Elephas maximus indicus: one gene and its partners. The protein of the gene in region 4 binds, or shares a complex with, the protein of the main gene of each other region. Links are inferred from orthologs where the notes say so. Each region holds a gene or a part of one and is shown on either strand. Other genes may lie near its edges.

Region 1 (7,001 bases), on a different chromosome or scaffold from region 4:
GTGATTTCTAACAAAATGAAAAAGGCCAAACAAGCTAATCTCTAGGCCCAATGCCATATTTAGTAGCTCAGCTTTAGCGCCCTGACTACCACAACATCCCTTTCCCATCCTAAGCATACTGGTCCATGGGCATTTAGTCAAACAAACAGCATCAGGAGTTAGATCTGTAACCACCGTCCTACAAAAACGGGCTACTGTTAAATAAAACAGTATTAGCTTCAATGTGTCTTACCATTGTTATATTATTTCCATTTAGCAAAATCTGATCTAATTTAGTAATCCTTCTTCCTTCCGGTGTGATTTCGCTAAATAAATAGATAAAATAGTCAGGTTAAACAGTGGTAATAAAAGCCAACATTTTGAAATCTTTCCATCCCTAAAAAGGTTATTCTTCTATGTAAGTAAATGTGAGGTGAAGCAATTATATCAAAAACTTTCAAAGATCAAGATTATCCACTGGGTAATGTACACTCTTCCTTAAAGGTAAGAGTGAACTGACTGGCCTAACATCCACTAAGTTCGATCTTCATTAAAAAAGCTGAAACTTGCCAAGGAGGCCAAATACGAAATATTTACCAGCTTCACTCTTTTTCTTTAACACATCCATTATTGCTCATCTCCATCCATTAAAAACCAAACCCGCTGCCGTCCAGTCAATTCCGACTCACAGTGACCCTATAGGGCAGAGTAGAGCTGCCCCATAGGGCTTCCAAGGCTGTAAATCTTTACAGAAGCAGACTGCCAAATCTTTCTCCCCCAGAACAGCTAGTAGGTTAGAACCACCAACCTTTTGTTTAGCAGCGAAGCGCTTTAACCACTGTGCCACTAGGGCTTCTCCCAGCCATTAAAGCAATTTGTAATCAGTTCAATTTTGAAAGCAGAGATATTGGTCATGATCTATATAATTAACACAACTGAGCCATCATTTACATTTTATGTTACACAGTTAAACGTTTTTATTACCAGTCTTTTATTTGACCTGAGCAGTTTTTAGTATCATTCATCTTAAAGATTTGTCTCTACTAATTTCCTAGCAACATGATAATAATTATATTAATAACCCTCTGATCTAATTTTACTAGCATCAGTAGATAAAATTTCCATCTTTAAGATAATGCCAACAGGCAATATTTACTTGTAAATCATTTTACTGACTCGATAGTATTAAAATTGCCTTAAATTAAGAAGAGCAATACTCCTCCAAACTTTTCATTTTTAACACTACTTACAACTCAGTGACGTCTTCCAATACCATATCTGAAATTTGGTGTTAGGAAAATAAACATACCTGTCTGAATTTACTCTGTCTTGTCTTTGTTCAATTTTAGTGATAACATTTAACACAATGACTTAAATTTTCAACTCTCGTTATTGGTAGAAACTTTATCTTCGGTCAGTACATACCTGCTGCTGTCAAGTCGATTCAGTACATACATCTCTTAAAATGTTACCACAAGTTCCCCAAGAGTGAACTGATCTCTAATATAATAATTAGTAAATACTGATTATCTATAGTTCTTACTTACGTTATTAAATACCTAAGAAAAACCTATCCACCACCTTTTAAAAGGATACTGACAAAGTCATCAAAGCCTAGAAGCGTGCCAACAATTTCCTTATCACTCTTCATCACAATGTGAATTCTTGATCCTATACACTTGTCCACAAGCTCTAAGAATATATTGAGGAAAAAAAGAGAGAGGAAAAAGATTATTTCAGCAATTCATTACTTCAACAAATATTTGAGTGCCTACTGGCACTCAATAACTTGCATATAGTGAAAGACAAACCAGGAAAAATATTCATTCAACAACTTTAGCTCTTATATTACAAATCTCTGTTCGATCATTAACAGAAAAGTTTCCCTTGATCTCTACTTAACTCTCCCTTGTAGCAATTTACCATGGTTGCACTTCTGTGTTTTAGGTTATTTAATAATATATGAACTGCCTACTAGACTCTAAGCTCCACGAGGGTAGAGACCGTGCTTGTTTCTGCTCATCACTGTATCCCCAATGGACAACCCCCCCCCCCGCAAAAAAAAAAAGAGAGAGAGAGAAACCGGTTGCCGACAAGTCAATTCCAACTCACAACGGCCGTGCCTGCAATCAACCGGGCACTCAAAGAGTGTCAAATGAAGGAATAGAAACTTTTCAAGCACAGCCTCGTCTATTAACTTGGTCACTCTTCCCAGTCTCGAAATATTAGGGGAGAGAGGAGTATAATTATCTTCATCAGAGATTCCTATCACTACCTGCCTCACCCAACCGAGGGCTATTCTCTGAACTCTGACAGCAGCTTGAATATCTACTGAGCCAGTTCAGCACTATTCGGCACAATGCTCAGTATCCATTCCCTCCACTGTTTTCTGCATTATTTTAAGAAAAAGACTGTGATTTGAATTGCTGAATACTGCTGAATAGTGTCGTTATGATCTCTGTGGTGGATGGCGCACAGTAGACGCTCCAATAACCGTTTGCTGAATGAATGACAACTGGAACCAGTTTCCAGATTCCTCTTTTAAATTTCATTCCTGACCTTCCCTCAATAACCGGCCAGACATAAAATAAGACAAAGCCTACTCTGAAGATCTTAAATGCTAGGTTTGGGGGGTGGGGGGAGGCCGCTACCCAAGACACGATAGAGACGAGCTCACAACAACGGCAGGTTACACGTTCAGTTCATTAAGCATAAACCTTTCTCCGGAGACGGTTTGGTTTGGGGAGTCAAAAGTTGCTGCCTCAAGCGAACCTATCACGCTGAGGCAGGAGCGGTCAGGGGCCACAGACTTGGAGCAGAAGGAAAAAGCCGGATACACTTTTCCCCACACTTCGCCACCTTAGTCGCAGCGCCTCTGCCCCCAATCTTGAACTTCAGCTCCCCGCCCGGCCCCCCGTGAAAGGTTACCTAGCGGCAGCAGCTGCGACGGGTTGGTGGTGGCGTTAGCCGCCATGGCTGCGCCGGAAGTGGCCTGCGTCTATCGCGGTAGGGAGGGCAAGTTTGAAAGAGCGCGCTTCCGCTTTCTTCCCCTGCGCGGGCAGGCCTGACCAATCTGAGGCCGAGAGAGCGATCGGGCCCAGGCCCTGTAGATCGCGCACACTCGCTTCTTTCGGGTGAGGTATCTATGTCCGCTGAACTTTTCTCTTAGAGAGGTACCCTCTCTTTCCTCGAAGTTTCGGAGGCATGTTAAAGATATCTTGGCTTGTGAATAAATTCTCCTTCTAACCCGGAAGATTTTGGAAAATTTTAAAGTCTTTAATTTCGTTGTATTTTTCTTCAGAAAGTTCTCTCTCTTCACAAGTCGGGCATCTTTCTTCAGACCAGTAAGTCAATTCATTTTTCTCGCCACCAACTCACTGTGTTGCAATTTTTGTAAAATCTGTTTTGTTAAGGGGGCTTACTATTTCTTTTAAAAGTCCAGTGGATTGAAAACCCACAACCAACCTTTTTTTTTTTCACTTTTCTGTGGTGGGGATTTAATTTGTTTCTTTACTAATTGATTTAATTCAACGTGTTTACCATGTTACATCTAAGAATTTAATTTATACTATGTGGCTTTTTTTTACTCTTTCTTCAATGAACACTAAGAGCAACCACGAGCTGTCACTCTAAATTATATGTTAATGTCATATGGGAAAACCATAGCACTTTGTACTTGTTTTGAAAATAATAGCAAACAAATTCCCTGCCTTATTCTATTTTATATTCATGTCCTAGGAACCTCAGGCAAAATAGTCTAAATATGAGGGATCACAAAGAACATCATTCATTCATACAGCAAATGGTTGTTAAGCACCCATCATTCATTCATTGACAGATATGCATTACACCTACTCACTTGTCAACATGATTAGGTTCAAAGACCAAGTTGTTATGCAAAAATCGTCATTAATTGAAAACGGAAGATGCCCACATCAGATTACAAAATGGAGAATGACTGCATCATTATGTAACTGCCAAAGGACCATGAATCATGGCCCAGTCAGGTTGACACATGAACTTAACCATCACAGCCATTGCTAGTCTCACCTAGCACCTGATTTAGGAAATAATATTGGAATCATTATTCCCTGTCCTTGAGCATAGAGAATGTGACCCAGCTGGAGCTGGGCTCAGAAGGACTTACAAGGGCACATCAACTGGGCCCTGAGGCATAAAGACAATAGCTAGGATAATTTCGGAAAATACCTTTTAGTGAACCTTTCACGTAAACCATTCAAACAGAACACAAAAGACTTTCCACTCTTTATCTTTTTGTATTAGCCTTTAGTGAATAGAAAATTGGTTGGACCAATCGAGACCCTCCTGAGTGTTATTACTGAAACCTGTATCAATGATTGTTAAGAAAGGCAATTCAAAATGTAGGATCACAGTTTCTAGCCAATCTGTGAAAAGGTGAAGCTTTCAATGGTTTTGCCCGTTTGTGATGTTAATATATACTGATGATTCTGTAATGTTCCTTGGACTCGGGCAGACATGGCTGTGGCACCATGCTTGTCCGTTTTCCCATTCTTGCCTATTCTGTAATATTTCCTTGGACTTGGACAGACATGGCTGTGGCAGCATGCTTGTCCATTTTCCCACTTTTGTCTATTCTGTAATATTTCCTTGGACGTGGGCAGACATTAGCTCTGGCAGCATGCCTGTCTGCTTCCCACTTTTGCCTTTTTGAATATATGCTGATAAAACTTCCTTTTTGCTTTACTAAATTTTGTGATGTTTTTACTCTATAACACACCTGAGCATTCATTACTGCTAAAAAACAACAACCCATTGCCCCCGAGTTGACTCCGACTTATAGCGACCATATAGGACAGAGTAGAACTGCCCCAGAGGGTTTCCAAGAAGCGGCTGGTAGATTAGAACTGCCCACCATTTTGTCAGCAGCAGTAGCTCTCAACCACTACACCACCAGGGCTCCCAATCCCTAGATTCTCAACTTGGCAGATGCATGTTTTCCTAGTGGAAGAAAAGAATAACTAGTGTCACTGTTGGACACTGCTTCCTCATGCAGCCTGAACCAAATTCTAGGCATTATTATGTTTCTGCTACTTGATAGAATTTTTAAAAATCAGAAAAATATGCTTTTCAAAGGGAGCCTGGTTTGCACTTTGTTTTCCTCTACAAGAACAGAATGAACATTAGCAATTTTCAGTGCATTTAATGAAGAAAAAAGAAAATCTCTTTAGACTCTATAGAAGGAACTATTGTTCATTTACATAATAGTGTTAATGAAGATTGCAGGAGGGGAGTGATTTTATTTGATTGTGTTCTTTCCTGATGAAAGGCACAAAAAGAAACAACGGGTCAATTCCAGATGGAGACTTCGTTTTCAATCTCAAGGATTTTTCTTCCTTTAGGTTGTTTACAGAGTAGACAAAATAGAATTTATAATTCATCATGAAATGTATGTAACTAGAAGAGGCTATCTGATGTACTATGTGTTCAGAAAGGCATTCCTAATTTTTCTCTTGGAGATAAATGCCATTATAAAAATACAACCAAAAGTTTCCTTTTAAAATAATGTTTAGAAAGTATTCAGTTATCTCAAATTGGTATTTCAATTTCACTAATCTTCTTCCAACACTTTTGAAAACAAAGGAAAAATTTATTTTCCCAGCAGATACTTGTCCTTGTGAACAATACCTTGAAAATGGATTCATTCTGTATTAACACAACTCACATAAAAGCTAATTTAAAGAATTGTTATTCTAAACTAGTAAATGGACTGGTCTGTACATTCAGAAATGGATAAAATCCTGGAAATTCCCTTGCATATTTTCTCTCCCGTTTTGCCCAGTAATATATTTCCTTTGTTTATAGCATTCTTCTAAATGACATTTTTTTAAACATTTAAGCAACATATCATTATGAATACATGATTTAATCTTAGTTGAAACATCTAGGATGCAAAGTGACTCACATTTTTATAAAACTGTTACTAGATCTCCTGGACAGTGAATTAAACAAGCTGGCATTACACTGTCAATACAGAGTTCTAAGATACCTTGTTTTTAATCTTTTTAAAACAACGCTTAGTGTTTAATTTTAGTGATGCCAGTTGTAGAGAATACTGAAGCAGATGCAAAAAAACAGTTAACATATTCTGCATATACGGAATAGTAGCTTCACTCACAGTTGTGAGCCAATGCTGAGAATTTTGAAATATAGAAAAGAAATGGATAGTAACATCTTGAAAAAATCCATAATATTTTTATTAGTATTAAGACATTTCTACTGAATTGTAGAAACCAAACTTGATTTTAGGAAGTCTGCTGTTTTCTTCAGCTATGCTTAGAATTCAGATCCTTAAATTTCAAAGCCAGGAGTAGAAAATATCAACTACTAAGGTTGCCTAAAATAAAAAAATAATAAGGGATGTGTAAATAGTAATGGTAAACTCCACAGCCAGTTATGGTAGTAATCTCAAATTCCATTTGAAGTGGGCACCTATTCTTCAGGTTATTCCAAGGGTGCCCTGGATAAAACTTGCTGAATCTGTTGGTACTTCCGTTATTCACTTTAAACTGATGGAAACGATGCTTTAAAAAAAAAGTAGTACAATCACTAAAGAAATATAAAACCCTGGTCACAACCAATCCCATATGTTTCGTGTTGACCAGAATGCTAAGCCCAGAAAAGGGCAGAATGAAAACAATACTTTAAAAAATTCAGCGGACTAGAATAATCAGGTGACAGGTCTCACTGTAAAATTCCTTTATGTCAAGGATGTTCTGCTTCAGGCCTTAAAAGGCTTCCAAATTCCCATACATAATATTTAAATGAGAGGGAAAAAATCTAAAACAAGTAAAAGAGAAATCTTGAATAAACAAGTAATTCAAAAGGCTGAATAAACAGATACATAGCTGTACCAATATGCTTCCAGGTTATCAAACAATTAAGAGTGCAGGGAGGGGGAGACGGGGCCAAGATGGCGGAATAGCCAGATGCTTCCCGTGATCCCTCTTACACAAAAGATCCGAAAAATCAAGTGAAACAAG
Region 2 (7,258 bases), on a different chromosome or scaffold from region 4:
TTGAGGACTAAGGTGGGCCTGACCCAAGCTACGGTATTTTCAATGGCCTCATATGCATGTGAAAGCTGGACAATGTATAAGAATACTGAAAAACTGATGCCTTCGAATTATGGTATTGGCAGAGAATACTGAATATACCACGGACTGCCAGCAGAGCAAACAGATCTGTCTTGGAAGAAGTACAGCCAGAGTGCTCTTTAGAAGAGAGGAGGGTAAGACTTCGTCTCACATACTTTGGACGTGTTATCAGAAGAGACAGGTTCCTTGAGAAGGACTTGATAAAGCGGCAGCAAAAGAGAAGACGACCCTCAACAAGATGGACTGACACAGTGGCTACAATGATGCACTCAAACAAAGCTACAATTGTGAGGATGGTGCAGGACCGGGCAGTGTTTCATTCTGTTGTACACAGGGTCGCTATGAGCAGAACCAACTCAGTGGCACCTAATAACAGCAACTTCAAGTCAGTCTCTCTAGACAAAGGTAGTCTAATCTACATTTTATAAAGCTTCCCAAATAACTCCTATATGTAAGTAGCTCTCAACTGGGGGTGGAACATTTTTGATTATCATGATGGGGGAGGATGGTTCTACTGTAAATAGAGCCCAGGCATGTTGCTAAACATTCTACAATGCACAGGACAGATTAATGATCAAAATGTCAACGGGGGTTAAGAAACCAAGCTATAAGCCCTGAAATCAAAAAACCATTGTTCTTTGGTCTTAAAGCAACAGGAGTTTTAAAAACTCTTCAAGGTATAACTAATGAGAACCAACAGCTAAGTTGGAATATAAATTATAACTTATTAGGGATATGCAGGACTGGACATTTTGCTCTATTACACATAAGGTCACCATGAGTCCAAGCTGAGTCAATGGCAACTAACAAAAGGCATACTTTGTTCCAATACGTACAGAATTTGAAAACAACTGCCAAAATCTTGAAATGGTTGCTATGCTAAACCATGAATTTCTAGTCTTGGCCATGCAAATGACCACAAACAAATTTCTTCAGTGTTACGGGTCCCTCACACGGTTAAACTCTTTGTTATTCAGTACGGTTTTTAAATGATAAAATAATCCAGGTGACATAAACGTCTTTTTAAATTCTATTACCTACTATGCCACAGTTCAGTGAGAGAGAGCCTGATGTAGCATAAAGAGTACTCACTTGGGAGGCAGGAAACCTGAGTTCTAATCCCAGCTCTGCTACTTAATTAGCTGCATGGCTTGGATAACTCATCACTTCACCTCTCATGGCCCCCGGTTTCTCATCTGCAAAATAAGGGAGTTATGCTAGATGATCACTGCAGTATCTTCCTGCTCTAACATTCAGTGAGTCTATGCAGTAACACCAATAACACACACACAAGTTTCCGAAGACTCCTGCACAAAATTCAAGCAAGCAGACTTGCTGGACACCACTAACAAAAAACGATTCCAAGAAGAGGCTTGACTTCGCTGGTTGATGTGTGAGAAATGTACTACGAGCTACAACACTTGGTCAAACAGGTACATTCGTAAACGAAAGATGTAAACTACTAAAACTTTTTTTGGGAACAATCTGGCAATGTGGATCAAGGCCCTTAAAAATGTCCACACCATCTAACCTAATAATTCCATTTCTGAGACTCTAGTTCTGAAATACAATTTTTAAAAAATTCATTCAAGTATTATCTGGGACATTAAAACGAAGCAAAAACTCACCAACTGGGAAACAGCTGAATAATTCATGAAACCTATGCAACTACAGAATAGGCAGCCAGTCAAAAGAAGATCCAAACCCACTGCCATCCAGTCCATCCCGACTCATACTGACCCAATATGACAGAGCAGAACCGCCCCATAGAGTTTCCAAGCCTGTAAATCTTACAGAAGCAGGCTGCCACATCTTTCTCCTGTGGAGTGGACAGCATCTGAGCAGTTTAACCACTGTGCCACCAGGGCTCCTCCAAAAGAAAATACAAAATTAGAAGCCATTATCTAGGAAGTTTTTTAATGGAAGTGGAAAACTGTATATACTCTTCAGTGAAAAACATAGGTATAGTCTTAGTTCAAGCAGAAAACAGCACATACAAAAGCGAAATACAGAAACTGTGGATGGAAGTGTTCAGTAAATATTACTTTCTTCACTAAAGGCTTCTGTATTTTCAATTTTTCTACAAGAGGCATATATTACTACCGGGGGTGAGGGGAACACACTGTCACTAACAACATTATCTGCACCGTCCCAATCCCAGACACCCCAAACAAAAATACCAGCTATGTACGTGAGCAAAGACTATTTCTGGCGGTAGGAATTGCCACCATACAATTGTGGGTGTCCCCCACGTGACAACTCCATGAGGCAGACTGGAGCAGGGAAGTGCAGCTCTTAATTTCTGGGGATCAGGCGCAGCCACCGGGACGTCAGTGTAGGCTCCCCAATTCCCTGAGCCTGTGCTGGTCCGCTTTCTAACCAAACTCCTGGGTTAGCGTCGGGGTGCCCCGAAGGGCTTAGAAAACCAGGAACAGTCTCGGAGGCAAACTCGGCGGGACCCAGGACCGCCATTCCTCACCTCCCGGTCTCAGCGCTTCGCGGGCAGTGGTTCCAAGTAACCTGGCGCCGACGACCGGAGATCTCCCGGCCATTAAAAGGGCTGAGGAGAGCGTGAGGGCACAGCATTCCGTGGGGACCCGACGCCCAGCACTCTCTGGGGCGGGCGCACCCTCGCCGGCCCCGAACCCTGCTCCCGCCAGGCCCTTTCCGGTGCTCCCGGCCTGGGGCTGCACCAGTAGCCGCTCCCCGGACCCTGCTAAAGCGACGGAACACCGAGGCCTCGAACCCGAGTCTGCGCGCGACCCCCCCCCCCCCCCCCATAGCTCGCGTGGCCGCCCGGCTCACCTCGCGGCCCGGACCCAGAACCTCTATTCCAGACGCCGCACTAGCCGGACCTTGGCAGACAATCGCTGCGAACGCCGAAACCGCCGGGGCAGCGGTTCTTTTCCGCCTCAGCCAATCATTGCTTTCCTCGGCTACGGCAGCCCGCGGGGGCCAAAAAGGCCAGCCCTCACCGGAGCGCGCAAATCGAAGAGTTTTGGTTTGTCTCCTGGCAAAGCCGGTCTATGGAGTTAAAGTAGAAAGCGGCGGTGTTCTCTCTTAACAGAAAGCCGAATACTGTATTTTAAAACATAATAATAATAAACAAAACGAAACAACTCCAAAAAAAGTGAAAGTGATCGTTTACGCAGGAATTCTTTGCATAAATGTAAAAAAGAGCTTGAAGTCATAGGAAACTACAAATTACTCGGCAAGGTAATGACTTTGCGTGCCCAGAAATGTCTCTGAATAATATAATGCAAATAAATAAATAAATGAATGAATAAAGCAAACAGCCTGAAAATCTCTAAATCCACCTTTATGCTTTGATTTAAATGTGAGAAAATGAAGTTATTATTAGCAAGAGATTGTCTCCATGGCGATGTTAATTGATAGAAAAAGAATTAAAATCGCTAAAGTAACTCCTTGTTATTATGACATAAATTGGGTTACATTACAACAGTAGTTCTAATGGGAAATGTGTGCAGATATTTAAGTGCTGCTCTGGGAACTTTGGTTTGGAATTTTGCATGAATTCTCAATATTCTTCCCCATCAGTTTAAATCTTTGATTTTAATCCTGTTTATGATTTTCTACACCACAAACTAAGTGCTAATATCTTTAAACAACAGATCCTTAAACCTGTTACTATCACAGGATCTAAGATGCAGATTTTTTTTTTTTCCCCCTAAAGCAAAAATCAGTTCCCCTCTTGTAAGTTTCTCTTGGGTAACTCAGAAAAATATCAGCCTTTGAGTAATACATGGACAGAGAACCACTGAGGGTGATCTGGTGAAGAGAGACTTCCTTAAGACCTTCTATAAAAGCTCAGTTTGGATAAAGACCAAGCAGTTACAGATATAGTGAAAAGGTTGTACTTGAAGTTCTCGCAATATAAAATATAATGTAAATAAAAAGTCTTAAGTAGAGCACGATTTAATTCAAATAATTAGTTGCAAAGAACAAACACAATAAGATAAAAAGATATAAAACCCTTCACAGAAGATATCAAATTATACCACATTCCTCACTGGTATCACTTAGTTTTTTGGATTCATAGCATCTTTCCCCTTTATCACAGAGCCGTGGCTGAGCCATTAAGATTGGTACGGTGGGACAGTCAGGAATTTTGAGGGTATGGCTCGTCTACAGAGCAGCTTCAGCCTTGTCCAAGGGCCACTGATCTGTAAGGGCCAAACTAGACAAACGGCTCGGCACCATGAACTATCTCACAAGTTAACAAACTCATTAAAAATGGGACCATTCTCAGAACCCTCTCCCAGCTTAGAATCAGTGTGTTCTAATTTACAAAGCAATTTTCAGTACTTTGCAGGATTTCTCTCTGTGTGTGTGTGTGTGTGTGTGTGTGTGTGTGTGTGTGTGTGTTTCCAGCATCTTGTATTATACAGAGAAAACATGCAAGACTTTTTCTGGAATAGTAGTCCACAGAGAACTAGTCTTCAAAGCCTACACACAAAATAATTTGACAAGGTTTAGTTCAGCTGTCTCTAAAAAAAGAAAAACCATCTCTAGCACTGTTTATATGTGGGTTTCTGTCCGATAAACTAAAAATATAAGGATTATGAAGTGAGAAGTTTCTTTGTTTGAATTCTGCATCTTCCACTTCTGAATTGCAAAACTTTTCCTGGCCCAGTAAATACTAACTTATCTGAGCCTGTTTCTTTATCTTACAATGGGAAAAATAAAAGCCACTTTTATTACCCTGGAATTATGTGATAATCAAACGAGAAAAAAAATGTATACGAAAAGGCTTTATAAAGAGAATAGTACAGACATAAGCTACTAAGTAGGCAAATGCTGGTACAAAAATACTAAGACAAACTTTTGCCATTTCATTATATGTTCCGTCTTCCTGCAGTTCTTTGTATCCATGCCTTTAACTAGCTATCTCCTTTAATGGTCCATGTTCATAGGAGAATGCATCCTGTCTAGCTTATTTTATAAAATACCTGACAGTCCTGTGAACATGTGGGTAATTGTATTTTGATATTTATGAGGATGATGATAGACACAAACTTGGAATTGGATTGACCAACAGTCCCCAAAGTAGATTTTAATACATAGCCTCTATATTAAGCTCCTAAGAAAACTGGCTGCTCTTGTTTGAGCCATGTATTAGCTGATATGAAGGGCTGGCATGGACTGGGTGGAACCTCCTTTACTGGACCTTCAAATACTGAACAGTAAAAAGCAACTAAACCCTAAGTTGTGACACCTAAATTGTGGGTATTTGGGGCCATTGTGATCTATCTTTCATCATGGGATATGAAAATTATTTGTTAAAGAAAAAGGAAAGTATTCTATAGTTGTTGGAAATCTTCTGAGAAGTCAATGTAAGCTTATTGACGGACATGCAAATTTCCCAGGAAATGCCTTTTTCTGTATACCTTTTATTTATACCAAAAGAAGGGATGTATTCTGTATCATAGGCATTAAGTTTAAGACACAACAGTTAAGGTGTTTAAATAGATGTTCAGACTTCACCAGCCACCATTCTGGTATGACTTGAATTTCAAGAGATGTACTCAGGGTCTGAGGTACCATGAAGAGAATCTTCCAAATGGCTTACTGCTGCTCGTTCCACCATGAACTCCAGAAAACCTCTCTGAGCTGTATAATTCAGCGAAATCACTATGAAGCTGCCCTTGTATTTTAATCAAGCTGAACTTGAAAGGTGAACATTATAAGTGGGAGAAATTATTTATAATTTGGTAATAAAAGTTTATGTCTAACGGTCCAAATTTCACACATTGCTATGTGCCAGCCCTGAGATATAAAACAATTGAAGTTGCCTTTACATTTGGCCTTCTATGAAAGGTCATAAATTAGAATGATAGTGTTCATTCTCTTTCTTAGCTCACAAAATTTCCATATTAACATCTTCACCTCAAACATAAATGGTTACCCAGCTACAAAGAAAAGAGTCATATTGGCCTTTGTGAATTATAGTTTATGTTGGGAATCTGGGGTCCAGAAGGCTGTTCAGCTTTCGGTGAAGTACACCTACTTCAATAAAGCTAATTCTACCACAGTGAAACTAATTAAAACCGTATGGCCAGTTCAAAGTAAATAAACTACAGTATATATAAAAAAAAAAACTCAGGAGTATTTTAGACATGGTCAAATGGTTTCCAAGTTATAGCGTTCTTTTAACTCTTAAAAGCACATTTCTACATCTTTATGGGTTTTCCCTTCTAGAGTATCTGCTACCAAATTTGTTTAAAACACTACTTTCAATTTTCAAAATGCTTCTTTCAAATGTGGTTTTAACTGATCCAAAACCCAGTGCAGTCGAGTCGATTTCGACTCATAGCAACCCTACAGGACATAGTAGAACTGCCCCAGTTTTAACTGATAGTATGAAAAAAAAAATTTTTAACTACTAAAAGGCTAGGCACAACTAATTTCTATTATGATATGTAACTAAATTCATTCCAAAATATTAATGAATTGGACCGGTGCTTTGTGTTTAGACTTCCAAACAATGTTTATAGCAAAAAAACCCAGATGTCTTTGATTTTCCAGGGTGGGTTATCGAATCCATATGTTTTTTTGCAGTGTAAATGTTTCTTTCACAAGCCCAGTGATGTAGTTAAAATGTCGCATTATAAACTAGTAGGATCAAGTTCACGAACAACTTCAGAATTTCAGGACTTTACCCAGGGAGAACGAAAAATTTGAAGACCAAATGCTAGTTTCAGTAACTATATTCCAGAAGCTATATTCCCCAATCCTGGATTAGTAAACACAATGGAGCTGAAAATTACCAATGTGTTTAGCATAAGCTCTTTCATCTCAACTTTTTGTCTTAAGCAATTGACTTTCCTTTCTTCCTAATATCAGGATAAATGGATGTCTTTGCAGTCATTCAAGTCCTTGCACTAAGAAGTACATCTTTTGTCACCTAAAACTCTCAGCAGCAAAGACTAGTTGTTTCTGTTGTAGCAAAACCTGTGCCAATGTTAGGACATGTTTATTGGAGGTCACCCATACCCACAAAGTGATCAGCTGTCTCACAAACACAACGTGGTCCTCTTTGCACATCTTTCCCCCCCAAATAATTTGAGGAAATGACAGCCTTCTTCATGAATTGTTACTAAAAAAAAATAAAGCAAAGGATAATACGGTCTTACCTGAAGGTCTTCTTGTACAAAGTCAA
Region 3 (7,408 bases), about 69 Mb from region 4:
GGGTGACCTCTATGCCCCATTGGGTTCAGGGTGGGGACAGCCACAGAGAGGGAAGGTGACAGGGAAGTGAGCCTCCCAGGAACCTGGACACCTGTCTGTCCCCACAGCTGCCTTGCTGGTTCTCAATCTCCACATCTGTGAAATGGGACCAACTGCCTCCTGGGGCCCTCTGGGGTCACTGGACCCAGGAAGGCTGGCGGCTTTCCCAGGAGGCGGGATGGCATGCCAGGCCCCTGCAGGGTGCTGTGTGACCACAGGGCTGGTCAGGATCCCAGAGGCCTTTTGGCGCCTGGAAGGCTTGGGGCCACCGGCACCACACACCTGTGGGGCAGCTGGCTCGGGCCCAGGTGGCACCCTCTGGCCAGCGCCTCCTCACTTTACAGGGTAACAGCAGGTGTCTGGTCACATCACTGCCCTGTGCTCTGGGCACACAGGACCCAACTAGTACTAGAGTCAAGTGCCCACAAGGCTCTCCCGCCTTCCCGACACCCGCGCGCCAGCTCAGCCAAAAGGCCCAAAGTCCCTGCCCCAGCGCGTGACAAGGACAGTGGCTGCGGTCTCAGACCCAGGTCCTGGCTGCTCCACTATATGTGGCCCAGGACAAGGGGCCCAAGGCAGTCCCACCTCTGGGTCTGGGAAGACCCCCTGGGCCTGCCAGGGGAACAATGGGCCTCAGGAGGGCAGTCATGAGCTGGTCACCGTGTCACACCATAACCCTTGGGGCTGTCCCCAAGTTTTCGGCCCTGGAGTCCCTGTGGTGCACTGCTCTCTGTGCTCCTGTGGCCCCTGCCCTTCTCACAGGGCAGGGATGAGCGCCCTGCTCCTCGGGGTCCCCTGGTCCCTGCCCTGGTGACAAAGGGTAGCCTGGACAAGGGGGAGATGAGCCCCACCACTGGGGAGGGCTGACGCCACGGGAGGCGCTTCACCAAGGGCTGAGGCAAGGGCTGACGTGACCAAGGTTCTCTTGGGCCCCAAGGCAGGATAAGGGGTCCCCGTCCCCAACTCCCCCGCAGACACCCTTCAGTCAGCAGTGCACCCTTCCCACAGCCCCAGCGGTCAGTCAGAGCCCCCGGCATCCAGTGAGGCTCTGCCTGGGCTGCTCTGAGAGGACTCACGTTCCACAGCAGGGGTCCGAAGTCTACAGCCCACAGGCCAAACCAGCCCACCTTCTCCTTGTGTAAATAAAGTTGTACCGGCACACAGCTGTGCCCCTCATGTACCTGTGGTCTGTGGCTTTCTCACTATAATGGGCTGAGTAGTGGCAACAGGCGGCACAGCCAGCAGACCAGAAGGTTCCCACAGAACCTTAACTGAAGCCTGCTCCACGGGATCCAGGCTGTGGGTGAAAGGGCCCATTCGTGTAATATGGGAACTGACAGAAACTTCCTTTTACAGAGCTCGTTTAAGGGTGCAGAAGTAGGCTTCACGGATTGCCCTCACAAAATCTGCAAAGCAAACTGGCTTTCCCTTAAAAAAAGGGCTGCGAGCTTTTATCAAACACCGAGAAGGCGCCACCCTCTCGCCTGCTGAGTTACGGGAGCTGGCAGTTCTTCAGTGACACACATTCTACAAACACCCTGAACTCTAGGCTGCTCCATTTGTGCCTGGGGAACCAGAGATACCTAGGACAGGAACAAGGATGGGGGTCTGCCTTCTGACAGTTACCAAGCAGATATAGGAAACTCCAGAATCTCTGTGGAAGTGGCCGACATCCAAGGGGTTTAAAAGACACCAAGGAGCCAGGTTATGGAGCAGTCTTCCTTCAAGAAAACCAGTAAACCAGTGCCCAGGGAGTCGACCCTGCTCCTGGTGGCTGAACTGTGCCCCACAGAGTTTTCAGTGGCTGAGTTTTCGGAAGTAGGTCACCAGGCCTTTCTTCCAAGGTGCCTCTTTGTGGACTTGAACCTCCAGCCTCTCAGTGAGCGGCTGAGCATGTTCACCCTTTGCATGAGCCAAGGACTGTTCCTTCCAAGAACACTTAGTGAAATCTTGGAGACGGTGAAATCATCAGGACCCAAGAATCATGGGAAAAAACACATTAAGGTGGAGGAGGCACAGGTTGAGGCGACAGGACAGCCTTCATATTCCACTTCATATACCTTTCATAGTAAATGGGAGTGGGGAGTGGTATTGGGGAGGTCACTTTTCTTGTCCAGGGTCACAAGACAGTGGCCTGTGAATTCAGGACTGTCACTGAGCAGCCTCCACCCAGCGGGAGAGTTAATCTTACTCCTGGGAGCCAGGAGTCAAATATACCCATTTCCACTACACGACTGAGAAGACGCCCCACAGCACCAGGACTGTGCCCACAAGGGGCCTTAACCAGGGTCCAGGGAGAGCAGGGCCCACTGCTCTCTTTGAGTTGCTCAGAGATTCTCTGTGGCTCACCTTGCTCAGGATAAAGCCAACTCCCCAGCGCTGTGGGCCCTGTGGACTCTGCCCAATCTGACCGTCTGCCTGAAGCCACACCCCCAACTGGCCCCTCCCTGCCGCCTCCTTCAGACCCATGGGAAGGGCCTTTCTCTGGATGTAAGCTCCCTCTCCAAGCACCAGACCATCTTATGCACAGACTACAGTCCTCAAATAATCATCAGCTCTTGTACCTCCTGGCTTTGGTCATGCTACTCCCACTGCCTACAATACCTTTCCTCTCCCTTCCCAACCCAACAAACTCCTATTCATCCTTCAAAACCCTTCTCAGGTGTCACTGCTCCTTAAGAGCTTTCCCAGGCAAATTCACCAGTCATGCCCTCTGTGGCACTCCCATGATTCTTTATCCACCTCTTCTTTTCTGAATCTCATGCAAAACATCTCGAGAGCTCAATGTCCCTGCCCTCAAAGTGTCACAGGCTGGTGAGCGAGGAAGATGAATAACCAGGCAGGTACCACGTGTTCAGTGCTACAATGTGGGCAGTAAGGGGGGGCTGGGGAGAGGGTATCCTGGACAGCTTCTGGGAGGGAGGAACAGGCAAGCAGAGACGGGAAGGATGACTAGGGGTTAACCAGGCCAGGAGTGGAGAAAGCCAGTTCCAGGGTAATAGAAAAGATCAGAGAGCAAAGTGTCACCGATAAAATCTGCATCCTGTCTGAGTCAGGAAGGGAGGGAGGAAGTGGCTCTGTGAGCAGTCACATCACAAAGACCTTTCTAAAGATGAGAAGCCACGCAAAGGCTCTCATCTGGAAGCAACAAGGTCTGACACGCTTCTGGAAAAGATGGCCCCTGCTGTGTGAAGAGTGGACTGGAGGGATTCGGGGGGAGGGACCTGAGTGACCACAGGGAGAGGGGAGGGGAGCCCCAGCAGAGGTGGTGGTGGACAGGCTCCTAAGACGTGTGAGGAGTTAGAGCTGTCAGGCAGGAGTCCTCAACGTTAAAGAGCAGCAGCGAGGTCTCGCTGATCGCGCACCATTCCCAGAGCTGCTGCGTAAGCCAGGACAGACGGGAGGTTTGGAAAAAAGGTGCACTTATGGTTGGTTTTCTGGGTATGACAGACAGCAAGCATCAGCTATCTTGTTATCGGTGCCCCACAAGAAACTGAGATCCTTAACATGAAACGACAAATAAGTAACATATTCAGCCCTCTGCTGGTCCACACTGCTCTTGCCCCCCCTTGTGCAGACAGGTAATTGGTGCTCAAAGCGAGGAACTCCCTTGCCCAAGGTCACAGAGTAAAAGATGGGGCGCAGGATTCCCCCCAGTCCGGGGCTGGGCTCTGAGCCCTGTCGCGACGCTGCCAGGCACGGGGATCCCGCGCTGACCCCCTCCAGGGCCTTCCCCGCTCCCCCGGGGCGTGTGCTAGCATCGCGCTCATTTCGCATAAGAGGAAACTGAGGCTCGGAGAGGCTCAGTCACTGGGCCAAGGCCGCAGAGCCAGAGAGCGGGGTCCTGGGCGGCGGCTGGGGAAGACCCCGAGACGGACAAGCAGGACTCGGGGGGGAGAGGACGGGGGTCCACAACTTTAGCCCGGGCCGGAACTGGGCGATACTGCAGCTAGGGGGGGTTTCCGCGGCGAGGAGGGAGAGGAGCTGGGGACGAGCCCCCAAGGTCACTCCGGGCCCCGGACCCGCGGGGCCGGAGTACGGGGGGCGCGGGGTCCCCGAAGCTGCCCCCAGCCGGGCCGGGCTGGATCCCGAGAGGGTCCCCAGGGGCGCGGGGAAAGGGGAGCCGCAGCGTACGGGGCTCCCGGGACGACGCAGCCCTCACCTGGGCCGCGAGGAGAAACAAGGCCGCCCAGAGCCGCGCCAGCGCCGCCGCCGCCGCCGCCACCGCCATGTCGGCCGGTCCCCGCAGCCGTCGGCTGATGTTTCCCAGCAACGCCCCGGGCGCCGCTGCGCGCAGGCGCGGGGCTGCGCGGCTCCTGTACGCGCGTGGGTGACGTCAAAGGGCGCGCCGGCGGCGCCTGCGCAGAGCGGCGCGGCGCGGCAAGATGGCGGTGGGCGCACGGCGGGACCGGGCGGGCGGCGTGGGGCTGGCGGGGCGTTCTCTCCGCCTCACGCGCTCTGCTTTCCTCGCAGGACAAAGAAAAGAAGAAGAAGGAGAGCATCTTGGACTTATCCAAGTACATCGATAAGACGATCCGGGTGAAGTTTCAAGGAGGCCGCGAAGGTGAGGCAGCCGCTGCCGCCAGCACCCTCTTATAGCTGTTTAAAATAATTAACAAGAGCTACGATAACAACTTAATTTTTAGGCAGCGTTTTCTCCGCTTAGACACTGCTTTAAGGGCTGCACGCGAACTAACTCATACAGTCCTCCTAACAGCGCTGGGAGGTAGATGCCGTTGTGCCCATTTTGCAGATGGGGAGACTGAGGCACGAAGCGGCGAACAGACTTAACCCAAAGTCACAGTGACGCAGCCGGGATTGGGATTCACGAGTTTGCCTCCTGTGCGGTCCTGTCCCTCCAGCTCCCTCCCAGGGGCTTCCGTTCCTGCTCCCTCTACACCAGAGTTCCTCAGCTTGGGCACTGCTGCCTGGAGGGCCGGATCGTTCTCTGGGGTGGGGCAGTCCTGTGCACTATAGAGAGTTGAGCAGCACCCCGATCACCCACTCGATGCCGGTAGAACCCTCCCCCTCCCCCCCCCCAATGATGACAGCTACAAATGTCTCCAGACATTGCAAGTATCCTCTCGGGTAGAATCGCTCCTGGTGAAGAACCCCAGTCCGGCAGTCAATCACCAGTCAGTGGGCAGAGAAATCTGTGAAAAACAGAACTTGAATCTCTGCTCCCTGCTTAAACCCTCCCTTGGCTCCCCATTGTGCCAGGATAAAATCTAAATCTGTATGTCTGAGCAGCACCTGTAGCCACAGGGCTGGAAAGGCACACGTTTGCTTCCTGCCTGGAATACTCTCACCAGGTGAACTGCCAGGCTAACCTGCTCCCAGTTCAAAGGCATTTGTTCTGGGAAGCCTTCCCTGATCCTCCACCTCAGGTCAGTCCCCTTTGTTTTAAGCTCCTAGTAGCACCTGTGGGGAAGACACCGGTGGCTCGGTGATAGAATTCTTGCCTTCCATGTGGGCGACTCAGGTTCATTTCCCAGCCAGTGCACCTCATGTGTAGCCACCACCGACCTGTGGAGGCTCGTGTGTTGCTGTGATGGATGAACAGGTTTCAGCAGAGCTCCCAGACTAAGACAGATTAGAAAGAAATGCCTGGAAATTGACTTCTGAAAATCAGCCAGTGAGAACCCTGTGGATCCAAACGTCTGATCCACAGCTGATTGTGGGGACAGCACAGGACGGGCAGCGTTTTGTTCCTGTGTGGGGTAGTATGGGCGACCGAGGGCGGCTAACAACAAGTACATGTCGCCACCTGCATCTTTATGTTTGCTAACGTGGCACTTAACTCTGCCCTGCGGGGATCTAGTGGTGAAATGGTATGTTCTCTGAGGGCAGGATTCGGCCAGGTTCTGCTCGGTGCCCATGGGCAGAGCAGGGTCACTGCATCCCCAGCCCCCCACCAAGTGCTTGGCTGGCAATATTGCCTTTGATGCTCATCTGAACCCTGTGAGGTGGCTGTCATTATGAGCCCCGTTTTGAAGAGGAGGAAGGACCCCTGCTGGTGCAGTGGGTAAGCACTTGGCTGCTAACCAAAAGGTTAGCAGTTTGAACCCACCAGCCGCTCTGTGGGAGAAAGACCTGGCAATGTACTCCCGTAAAGATTACAGCCTAGAAAATTCTGTGGGGCAGCTCTACTGTGTCCCACGTGGTTGCTGGGAGTCAGAATTGACTCGGTGGCAATGGTTTTGCAGAGGTGGAGCCTGAGGAGGTCACACAGTGGGAAGCCACAGAGTCAAAGCCCAAACCTGGGCAGTCAGGTGGCCGTCCACTCCAGGGGCGGGCAGACTTCTCCATCAAGGGCCAGACAGGGAGTATCTTATTTTTGCACACCAAATGGTCCCTGTCCTGCTGAATGGCTTCCGCCGTTGCTCGTTGGCTTGTCTCGTCTCGTTCTGCTTGGAGCTGGCTATCCCTGTTCTCCTTTCAGGGCTCCTCCCCATTCCCCCTAGTCCCCAGCTTCCTCTTCCCCTGAAAGGTGGTCCTTTGTGGGAGTGTGAACCTGCCTGGCCCTGGGGCACCGAGGATACTCATCCAAAGAATGGATATTGATCTCACGCCTTCTCGTTTCTCCTTTCCTTCTGGTGGTTTCTACAAGCCAGTGGAATCCTGAAAGGGTTTGACCCCCTCCTCAACCTCGTGCTTGATGGCACCATCGAATATATGAGAGGTGAGTTCAGGCCTTGTCCTTTTCGTTTTAAACCCGTGGAACCTATGCCTAAGTTACGGGTACCAAGCCATGTCGACTGGGTAGCTACAGGGTGTTCCATCCCCCACTGGCCCTGGTGTTCCTGCAAAGCCTGTGAAGCTCACGGTCCTAGGTTAAAAGAAATGTTTTGTTACCACATGCAGTGGTCTTTAGGTGCCTATTACCCATTGTTGTCGAGTCGTTTCTGACTCATAGCAACCCTGTGGTACAGAGTAGAACTGCCCTATAGTGTTTGCAAGGAGTGGCTGCTGGATTCAAATTGCCGGCCTTTTGGATAGCAGCCGAGCTCTTAAGCACTGCGCCACCAGGGCTTCAGGTGTGCCTATTAGGTACTTAAAATGTGCCAGGCATGGTTAGAAGGATGACGAGGGAAGGAAGCATGCGGGAGATATAGAGAGCTGGGAGGGGGACTTTGGGGCCTAGCAGGGACCACCGGGCCTGGGCTGAGGACTGCTAAGACACCAGGAGGGTCTTGCCCTTCGGGAGACCAGCAGTGTGGCTGAGACAAGACTGATTCTCCTGGAAAGTTTAACAGCATAATGTCACCACAGAGGTGCGACCTGGCAGGGCAGAGAAGTCCTCTCAGTGGGGAGCCTGCTTCAGGCTGAGCCGCCCACTCCCTCTGGAGCATCCTGGTGGCCCCTCGTT
Region 4 (7,876 bases):
TGGGGGCAAGTGGATGTGACTGGAGGAATGCCTGCTTGACAGAATATTCTGCTTTGATCCAGTTTATATATATATTAAGCTTCTGTATAAGATTTCAGTTGGAAAAAAAGCTTTGATTCTTTAAAAAAAGTTAAAAAAAAAACCAAAACTTTGAGATATAGTCTAGTCAGAAAGAACCACTCCAAATGGTGCACTTTCATCGTTGTCAATTTACTTGCACCATTAGGAGTTGCCTTGCAATAGTTCTCAAGGCAGAAAATCTTCCCTGAGTGCTTCATTTCATTTGAGCACTTTAAACAATTGTACAATGTCGGGAAGCAACAAAGACTCAGTTTTTCTACCCTCAAGGGGCACAGCAAGGAAAGTGTCAGGGAGAGGGGGAACAGTAGAGAAATGGTAGCCCAGAGCCAGGTCAAAGCTGGCTGTAGAGGAAATCTGCAAAGACGAGCAACCCAGTGTGGGGAGGAGCAAGGTAACTGATAAGGTGTCCACACATTGGGGTGGCCCAGAATGGACATCCAGAGCCTAAACGTGGAGAGGAGGATTAGAGATAGTAATGCAATGTTAATTTTCTGATTTTAATAGTATATTGTGGTTATGTAGGAGAATGTCCTTGTTTGTAGGAAAAACTAAATCATTCAGGGGTGATGGGGCCCCAGGTCAACAACTTAACTCTCAATGTTATTTGTACTATACCTCCATAATTTTGTGATTGTTTCAAAGTTAAAAAAAAAAAAAAAAAGTGCACGCATTTGGAAAAAAAAAAAAAAACACAGCCTGTCCTCCCTTCCAACAAGAAATAAGAAGTTTTTAGAATAATATTAAATTAGTGAGATACTCTACAGCTTCTTTGGAATGTCATTTCATGTGTTACCATACTGACCTGGTCTAGATTTTTGTTGTTGTTTTTAAGTCTGCGTTGATTTAGATTTCTTTTTGTTGTTTTTTTATAACACTAATTAACTAGAAGCCTGAAGGAATTAAAGAGATGTTAACTTTAACCTAAGTAAAAGAATTCAGAGGAGTATCAGCTAACACTGGGATATAAACAAAGACAGAATAATTCCAGAACCTACATTCTTAACCATTATGCTACACTGCCTCAAAAAGAATGCATAGTCCACATTTAAATTTTGTAGAGTACAGCTCTAACACTAACTAGGTCCCACCACTGGAGGAATCAATATAGAGTAATCAGAAGGGCATCGTTCATGGAGAAAGCTAGGATGAGCAGAGTCTGGATTCATTCATTCAAACATGAAACCAAGGACCATTTCTTATTTAATCTTGAGGTCCTGATATACAGTGGGTACTCAAAGACTTCTTGAATGAACGAACAAAGCTTACTATAAATCAAGCAGAGGTAAAGAAAGAAGGCAGAAAGCGTTCTAGTGTCTAAAAGATACAGGAGGAGAAGGAATTTGAGTCCCACATGTTGGATATGCCAGCAGATGGGAAACTTTCAAATGCCAAATTGGTGGCCTAACCTTCCTCCTTCCCACCAAATTTCTAAAATGACTATCCTAGACACGTGCTTCTTCCCTGTCAAGTTCACTATCTTATACAGGTGTTTCTTCCTTAAGAAAGTAGTCAAAAGGAGGGAAGAAGAATAGTAAAAAGCCAGGAAAAGCACAAAAGGTAGACTCATAAAATGTAAAAGTTGAAGGGAATTATATTATTAAGCTTTTTTTTTTTTAACTGAAATTGAGGCTAACAGAAGTCAAGTGATTTGAAAAAGGCTGCTGAGTTACCAGAGTTGTTACTAAACCCAGGACCAGTACTTACTCTACTGCCTCACACTGTTCTTTCAGGCAATAATCCCTAAGGTCCCTTCCAAGTACTCTAATAACAACAGTTAAAATTTGAGTGTTTCCGATTTGCCATGTATTAATCTAAGAGCTCTACTTGTCTTAACCAATTTAATCCTCTTTTTGACCACCCTATGAGATGGCAATTATCACTGCCATCTTAGAGATAAAGAAACTAAGACACAAGAAAAGCTACGTAACTTGCCCAAGATTACAAAACTATGAATGATAGAGATGGGATTCAAATCCTATCATCCTCTTTGTGAACATGTTTTCCTCCCTTTCTAGATTGTGAAATTCTTGTCGGCATGCCCTTGTCTTGCACATCACCATATCCTCCCGCCCCCAATCCCCAGTGCCTAACACAGAATAAGGCACATAGAAATTCATAACTGGCTGCTGAAAATACTGAAGTACTTGATGTTACCCTATTTTAAATTGTTAGTTAATTCATCAACTCAGCACAATATTTATTGATGCTTATATGCCAGGCCTTGTGCTAGGTACTTTACAAACCTAATTTTAATTCTTAAAAAAACTCTACAAAATAGGTATCTCCATTTTGCAGAAATGAAGTAACTTGTCCAAAGCCACACAGCTAGAAAGAAACAAATCTCAGGCAATTCCAAAGGCTAAGCACACGTGCCACTAAACTACCCTTTCAACGCAGTCCCTATCCTCTAAAATCTCCTAGTCTGGTAGGGATGATGATGAAACTATTTATAACACAGCGTGGTCAGTGCTAAAGTAATGGCTAGGTTCAAGATAATGAACAAACAAGGAACAAAGAAAAGACCTGAGAGAAGCAGGGAAGTTCAGAGATGACAACTAAGTAGGCCTTTAAGGATAAATGGGTATCTCCAAGAAGAGACTACTGTTGTTTGACCACATAAGAACCCTGAGGTACTGGCCTCTATTTTCTTCCCATCTATCAGCCCTCGCCTTTTTCTTCGCTTTCTTCCCTGTCCATCTTAGATTCCAGTCCATCATTCAAGTAATACCCTTAACTTTACCTTTTTATAGCTTACCTATCTGGCAGTACCCCTACTCTGTTGGGGAACAGTTGCAGACAACAGAATCAACTGTAGCTAGGTTAAGAAGAGATTTACTGCCAGGTATTATGTGGCTTTCAAAATTACTAGAAGGGTGATAGAAGCAGGCTCTGACAGAACTTGCAGGAACAACTCCTAACCTACAACAAAGCACACCAGCTTTGCCACCCAGATCAAGAAACTAATGGCTATCACTGCATAAAGTCACCAAACCAGCGAACTGTTGACTGGAAAAACTCATTGCCTCTGCCATTAACTGTCAGCAAATTATGCCTTGAACTCTGCTTCTCTCTACATTTAGCTCAGTTCCAAATCCAATTCTCAGCTTCAAGAGTCAAATAGTTTTTAGCTTTCCAGCTCTTCAGTAAGATACAGTACATTAGAAGTTGGAACGTGTGTTGTGTGAGCCAAATCCACAGTCCTTGCCATACCTGGATATGCTTTCTCCATGCCTGGACTAAAAAGCCTGGTGTTGCCAGAAAAAAATTTATGATCTCCAGTCTCAAAATGGGTTCTTAACTCTGCCTGGAAATCCTACATTTCTCTGGTGAACTCACTCTCCCAACCTCAGGAAACGGTAACACCATCTATTCAGCTGTAGAAGCCAGAAACCTAGGCGTTATCTTTGATTCCCCTCTCTTCTCTCCCTGAATCCAGGTTCTACCCACTTCACCTTCTATAAATCTCTAGAATATCCTTGCCAACATCTCTCAAAGGACTACTGTATATCCCTCTAAGTGGTCTATCTGCATCTCCCAGGGCTCCCCTCCAATCTATTCACACCACTAACCCAGAGATCAAGCCACCCGCAAAACCCTCAATGACTGCCCATCAGTCTTAAAGCAAAACTACAAATTCCTATAAAGTGTGATCTTCTAACCACCTTCCACTTCATCTTGCCATACTCTCCTTCATTCGCTTTGTACCAGCCACTCTGGCCTGTTCGTGCCTTTTAGTCATTTTGTTCCCACCACCATAGGGCCTCTACACATGCCGTTCTGTATGGAATGTTTCGCCTTCCCTTCTTCACCTAATTAGAATTCTTCCCTCAGATACCAGCTTAAGCATCTTTTTCTCAGAGAAGTCTTCCTGCTTATTTCAGGCACTCAGAGCAACAGCTACCTCTCCTAGGTAGCACTTCCTTTTCCTCACCAGACTCAAACTCTCTGAGGTCAGGGATCATGTTGGTTCATACTGTATCCCCAGTGCTTTGCACAATAAATATCTGTTGGATGATTAAGAGAAGGCCTAGTTCACAGGTATGGGTCTCAAATATCTAAACAATACTGGCCTCTCAAGAAGTCGGAGGTGAACCCTTTCTTCATCTCTCTCTCTCAGAGGCACACAGCAGGCCATAACAAAAAGCTGCATAGTCAGTGGCAGAAACAAGTGTCGCCTCCTCAGTCAGAATGAACACTGGTGGAGGCAGGGAGACAGGCCTTTTCTCCCAGGGCTGAACACAATTAGTCCCTTGTTGAAAAAGTCAGCCAGCAAGGACCCCCGGGAAACCGCAGGATCTGGGTCCTGCCGCCAAGAGACCCCAAAGCTCTGCTCCTGCCTGGAAAGAGAATTGAGGCTGCTACTTACCAGGGCTCCAAACTCGGGCCTGCCTCCCACCCTTTTCAACCTGCATCTTCACCTGAAAAAAGCCAAACTCAGACCCTACTACCGAGATGCGACCTCCAGAGTCCCGCAGCCACCCCCGATCTTCCTTACACTTACTCGCTGTTAGCTCCAGGTCGCCCAGCCACTGCACTGCGCGAAAAGCCAAACCCTCTCAGCGCGCTTCCACCCACAAGACACAGCGCGCCTAGGCGAGACTCCAGCTCCATCCGCCAATCCTGGAGCCGTACTCTAGCGACGTCAGGAAGAGCCGCCCAATAACAAGAGACTATCCGGAAAGAGCGCAGGTAGGAGCCTTGGAAACCGATTGGTTTCTCCAAGCCGGAAGTTCCGGGGGAAGAACTAAGTAGGAACCAATCGCTTGGTCCCTGTGTGTGTCGGCGCGGCCAGTGCCGGTGCTGAGGAGAGTGGCTGCCGCCATGATAGAACAGCAGAAGCGAAAGGGCCCAGAGTTACCCCTGGTTCCAGTCAAGCGGCAGCGGCATGACTTGCTGTTGGGAGCGGCGGGGTCGGGCCCCGGAGCTGGACAGCAGCAAGGAGCTTTGCTGCAAGCGGTAAGTGAAGGAGTAGGCGGCCTTCGGCCCTCAGCTCATCCTCCTCTCTCCTCGGACCTCTGCACTAGGTGGCCCCGAACCGGCCTTTCCACACGCTGAGAGGGGAGGAATGAGAATCTGTATATGGAGTTAAAGCAGGAAATTCTGTAAAAGCGCTTGACAACCTGCATACGTTCAGTATGTGTTTTCGCGTTTGACACCTCGTCACCGTCTCGACAGCCCTGTGAGGTGGCGTTAGAATTGTAGTTTAAGAGCCTTGGGCTTATTGTCGGGACCCGAACTTACGCATCCTAAAATTTCGGGAGATCTGGCATAAAATAAGCATTCAGTAAAAGTTTGTAGAGCGAATGAATGAGTGAGGTAAGGAAGAAAATGAATGATACTGGCTCGCTGTGGAACTTAGGACAAGTTGCTTTTTTCTTTTTCAACTTCCCTTTATTTCTTTGCACTGGTATTAACTACTAGTACTCTTGTCAATTAAGATCAGTTGCAAAAGATCTCCTTGAAGTGTTAAAAAGCAAAGATGTCTCCTTGAGAACTAAGATATGTCTGACCCAAGTTATGGTATTTTCTATGGCCTCGTGTGCATGCAAAAGCTGGACAAAGAATAAGGAAGACTGAAGAATTGATGCATTTGAATTATGATGTTGGTGAAGAATATTGAATATACCATGGACTGCCAGAAGAACAAACAAACCTGTCTGGAAAAAGTACAGCCAAGAACGCTCCTTAGAAATGAATAGTGAAACTTTGTCTCGCTTAGTTTGGACTTGTTATCTGGAGGGACCAGTCTCTGGAGAAGGACGTCATGCTTGGTAAAGTAGAAGATACGGAAAAAGCAGAAGTCCCTCAACAAGGTGGATTGACACAGTGGCTGCAACAATGGGCTCAAACATAGCAACAAGTATGAGGATGGCCCAGGACTGGGCAGTGTTTCATTTTGTTGTACATGGAGTTGCTATGAGTTGGAACCAACTCAAGGGCACCTAACAACAACAGTAGTATTATTAACAATAGCTAACATTCACTGAGCTCCTGTGCCGAGTGCTTTGTATATATAATCCCCGCTAATAATGGTAGCATCTTAAGAGTTAGGAACTGTTATTATCCTATTTTGCAGATGAGAAAACAGACTTAACTAGTAGTTTCCCGTTTAACAACTTCTACAAAATTTGTTCAGCGATCTTGGTTACATTTTACACTTTGTGTCTACTTTATCCTAATCAGGACTTTGAACCGGTTCAAGCCATGGCTGAGGAAGCAGAACTGAAAGACTCAAAATTTGGGTGAAGTAGAATGGGAAAGATTATGGATCGAAGCCCTGGGATCAGAGACTCAGAAGAGGCATAGTGAGCCTTTTCAGGAGCCTTATCGGGAGATTCAATTATTGCCAGGACTGTGGAGGGTGACACACTTTCAAAGTGGCACAGGCTACCGTCTTTGAGCTGGGCACTGCTGTTCCCAGTTTTGACAGTCAAAATACTTGGTTGTTATGTAATGTGCATGCTGTCCTTGTTTTCTAGAGGGAGATTAAGTTTCTAGCAGGGCTTCAACCTGTAATTTTTCCCAATCCGCTTCACTCACATTTTAAAAATTCAAGTCCGTTTGGGTTTCACTGCATCGGCCATGACTGCACATTATTTCTGTTCTCGGTGCTTCCGATGGTCTAGTTTCCCGCCCCCTTGCGTTCTCATCTTTGTTTTAGAGTAAGTGTTGACCATCTGGTCTCATATAGGTGATTTTTTTAAAGGAGCATAGTACTCACGGAAGATGTTGTTTATTTTATGTGCCAATATATTACTTAGCTAAAAGATGACCTCACGGGATAGTTTTGGTTCCAGGTTTAAAGAATATCTCAGGGCGATAGTCTTGGGGAGTCCTCCAGTCTCAACTAGTCCAGTAAGTCTGACTTTTTAAGAATTTGAGTTACGTTCCAGATTTTGTTCCCGTTCTGTCAGATCTATCTATTGTGGATCTGATCAGAACAGTGAGTAGTGGTAGCCAGGCACCATCTAGTTCTTTCGGTCTCAGGGTAGAAGAGATTGTGGTTTGTTCAGACTGTTAGTCCTGTGGACCAGTTTCTTCTCTGAGTCTTTGGTTTTTTCATTCTCTTTTTCTCTGGATGAGTAGAGACCAATAGTTGTATCTTAGATGGCCACCCTCAAGCTCTTAAGGCCCTGGACGCTACTTCTCAAACTAGGGTGTAGAACATAAACTTTATGTACCTTATTATGCCAACTGACCGAGTTGTCCCCCAAGACTATGGTCCTAAGCCTTCACCCCGTAAACCAATCCTGCAACATGTTTATAAGTATCTGTGTTTTTGCTGCCTATGTGGTTTATTGTGTATATGAATATATATGGATACGTACTTACACGCCCACACCGATATACACCTGCATATTAAAAAAAAAAATCAAACCCATTGCCATCGAGTTGATTTCGACTCTTAGTGACCCTATAGAACAGAGTAGAACTGCCCCACAGGGTTTCCAAGGAGTGCCTGGTGGGTTCGAACTGCCAACGTTTTGGTTAGCAGCTGTAGCTTTTAACGTATATGCCCACTGTATACGTAAATATACATACCTGTGCACTTGTATGCATACACATGTATCTACACTCCTATTGTTGCACAGTTGTATATGTCCTAGCGTTTACCAAAAACGTCCTTTTTCCTTGCATACTTCTAATGACATCATTTGCCCTGGTCAGACTCTGCAAACCCTGGTGGCATAGTGGTTAAGTGCTACGGCTGCTAACCAAAGGGTCGGCAGTTTGAATCCACCAGGCACTCCTTGGAAAGCCTACGGGGCAGTTCTACTCTGTCCTATAGGGTCGC

The links.
Region 1: SNRNP40 (region 4) and LSM5 share a complex: the UniProt entries of both Homo sapiens proteins name them as parts of the U4/U6-U5 tri-snRNP complex. The link is inferred for Elephas maximus indicus from reciprocal best matches to the Homo sapiens genes SNRNP40 and LSM5.
Region 2: SNRNP40 (region 4) and LSM6 share a complex: the UniProt entries of both Homo sapiens proteins name them as parts of the U4/U6-U5 tri-snRNP complex. The link is inferred for Elephas maximus indicus from reciprocal best matches to the Homo sapiens genes SNRNP40 and LSM6.
Region 3: SNRNP40 (region 4) and LSM7 share a complex: the UniProt entries of both Homo sapiens proteins name them as parts of the U4/U6-U5 tri-snRNP complex. The link is inferred for Elephas maximus indicus from reciprocal best matches to the Homo sapiens genes SNRNP40 and LSM7.

Annotation. Positions count from the first base shown.
Region 1 is NC_064826.1:94,010,425-94,017,425, forward strand, and holds the start of LSM5 (U6 snRNA-associated Sm-like protein LSm5), read right to left. Parts: upstream 3,011-7,001; 5' UTR 2,954-3,010; coding exon 2,908-2,953; intron 1,672-2,907; coding exon 1,576-1,671; intron 1,258-1,575; coding exon 1,230-1,257; intron 306-1,229; coding exon 233-305; intron 1-232. UniProt on the Homo sapiens protein: Plays a role in pre-mRNA splicing as component of the U4/U6-U5 tri-snRNP complex that is involved in spliceosome assembly, and as component of the precatalytic spliceosome (spliceosome B complex).
Region 2 is NC_064831.1:38,672,497-38,679,754, forward strand, and holds the start of LSM6 (U6 snRNA-associated Sm-like protein LSm6), read right to left. Parts: upstream 3,002-7,258; 5' UTR 2,884-3,001; intron 1,275-2,883; 5' UTR 1,171-1,274; intron 1-1,170. UniProt on the Homo sapiens protein: Plays a role in pre-mRNA splicing as component of the U4/U6-U5 tri-snRNP complex that is involved in spliceosome assembly, and as component of the precatalytic spliceosome (spliceosome B complex).
Region 3 is NC_064821.1:3,112,625-3,120,032, reverse strand, and holds the start of LSM7 (U6 snRNA-associated Sm-like protein LSm7), read left to right. Parts: upstream 1-4,402; 5' UTR 4,403-4,424; coding exon 4,425-4,430; intron 4,431-4,512; coding exon 4,513-4,603; intron 4,604-6,649; coding exon 6,650-6,721; intron 6,722-7,408. Other genes in the region: SPPL2B (signal peptide peptidase-like 2B), read right to left, coding at 4,202-4,270. UniProt on the Homo sapiens protein: Plays a role in pre-mRNA splicing as component of the U4/U6-U5 tri-snRNP complex that is involved in spliceosome assembly, and as component of the precatalytic spliceosome (spliceosome B complex).
Region 4 is NC_064821.1:72,228,318-72,236,193, reverse strand, and holds the start of SNRNP40 (U5 small nuclear ribonucleoprotein 40 kDa protein), read left to right. Parts: upstream 1-4,857; 5' UTR 4,858-4,902; coding exon 4,903-5,037; intron 5,038-7,876. UniProt on the Homo sapiens protein: Required for pre-mRNA splicing as component of the activated spliceosome. Component of the U5 small nuclear ribonucleoprotein (snRNP) complex and the U4/U6-U5 tri-snRNP complex, building blocks of the spliceosome.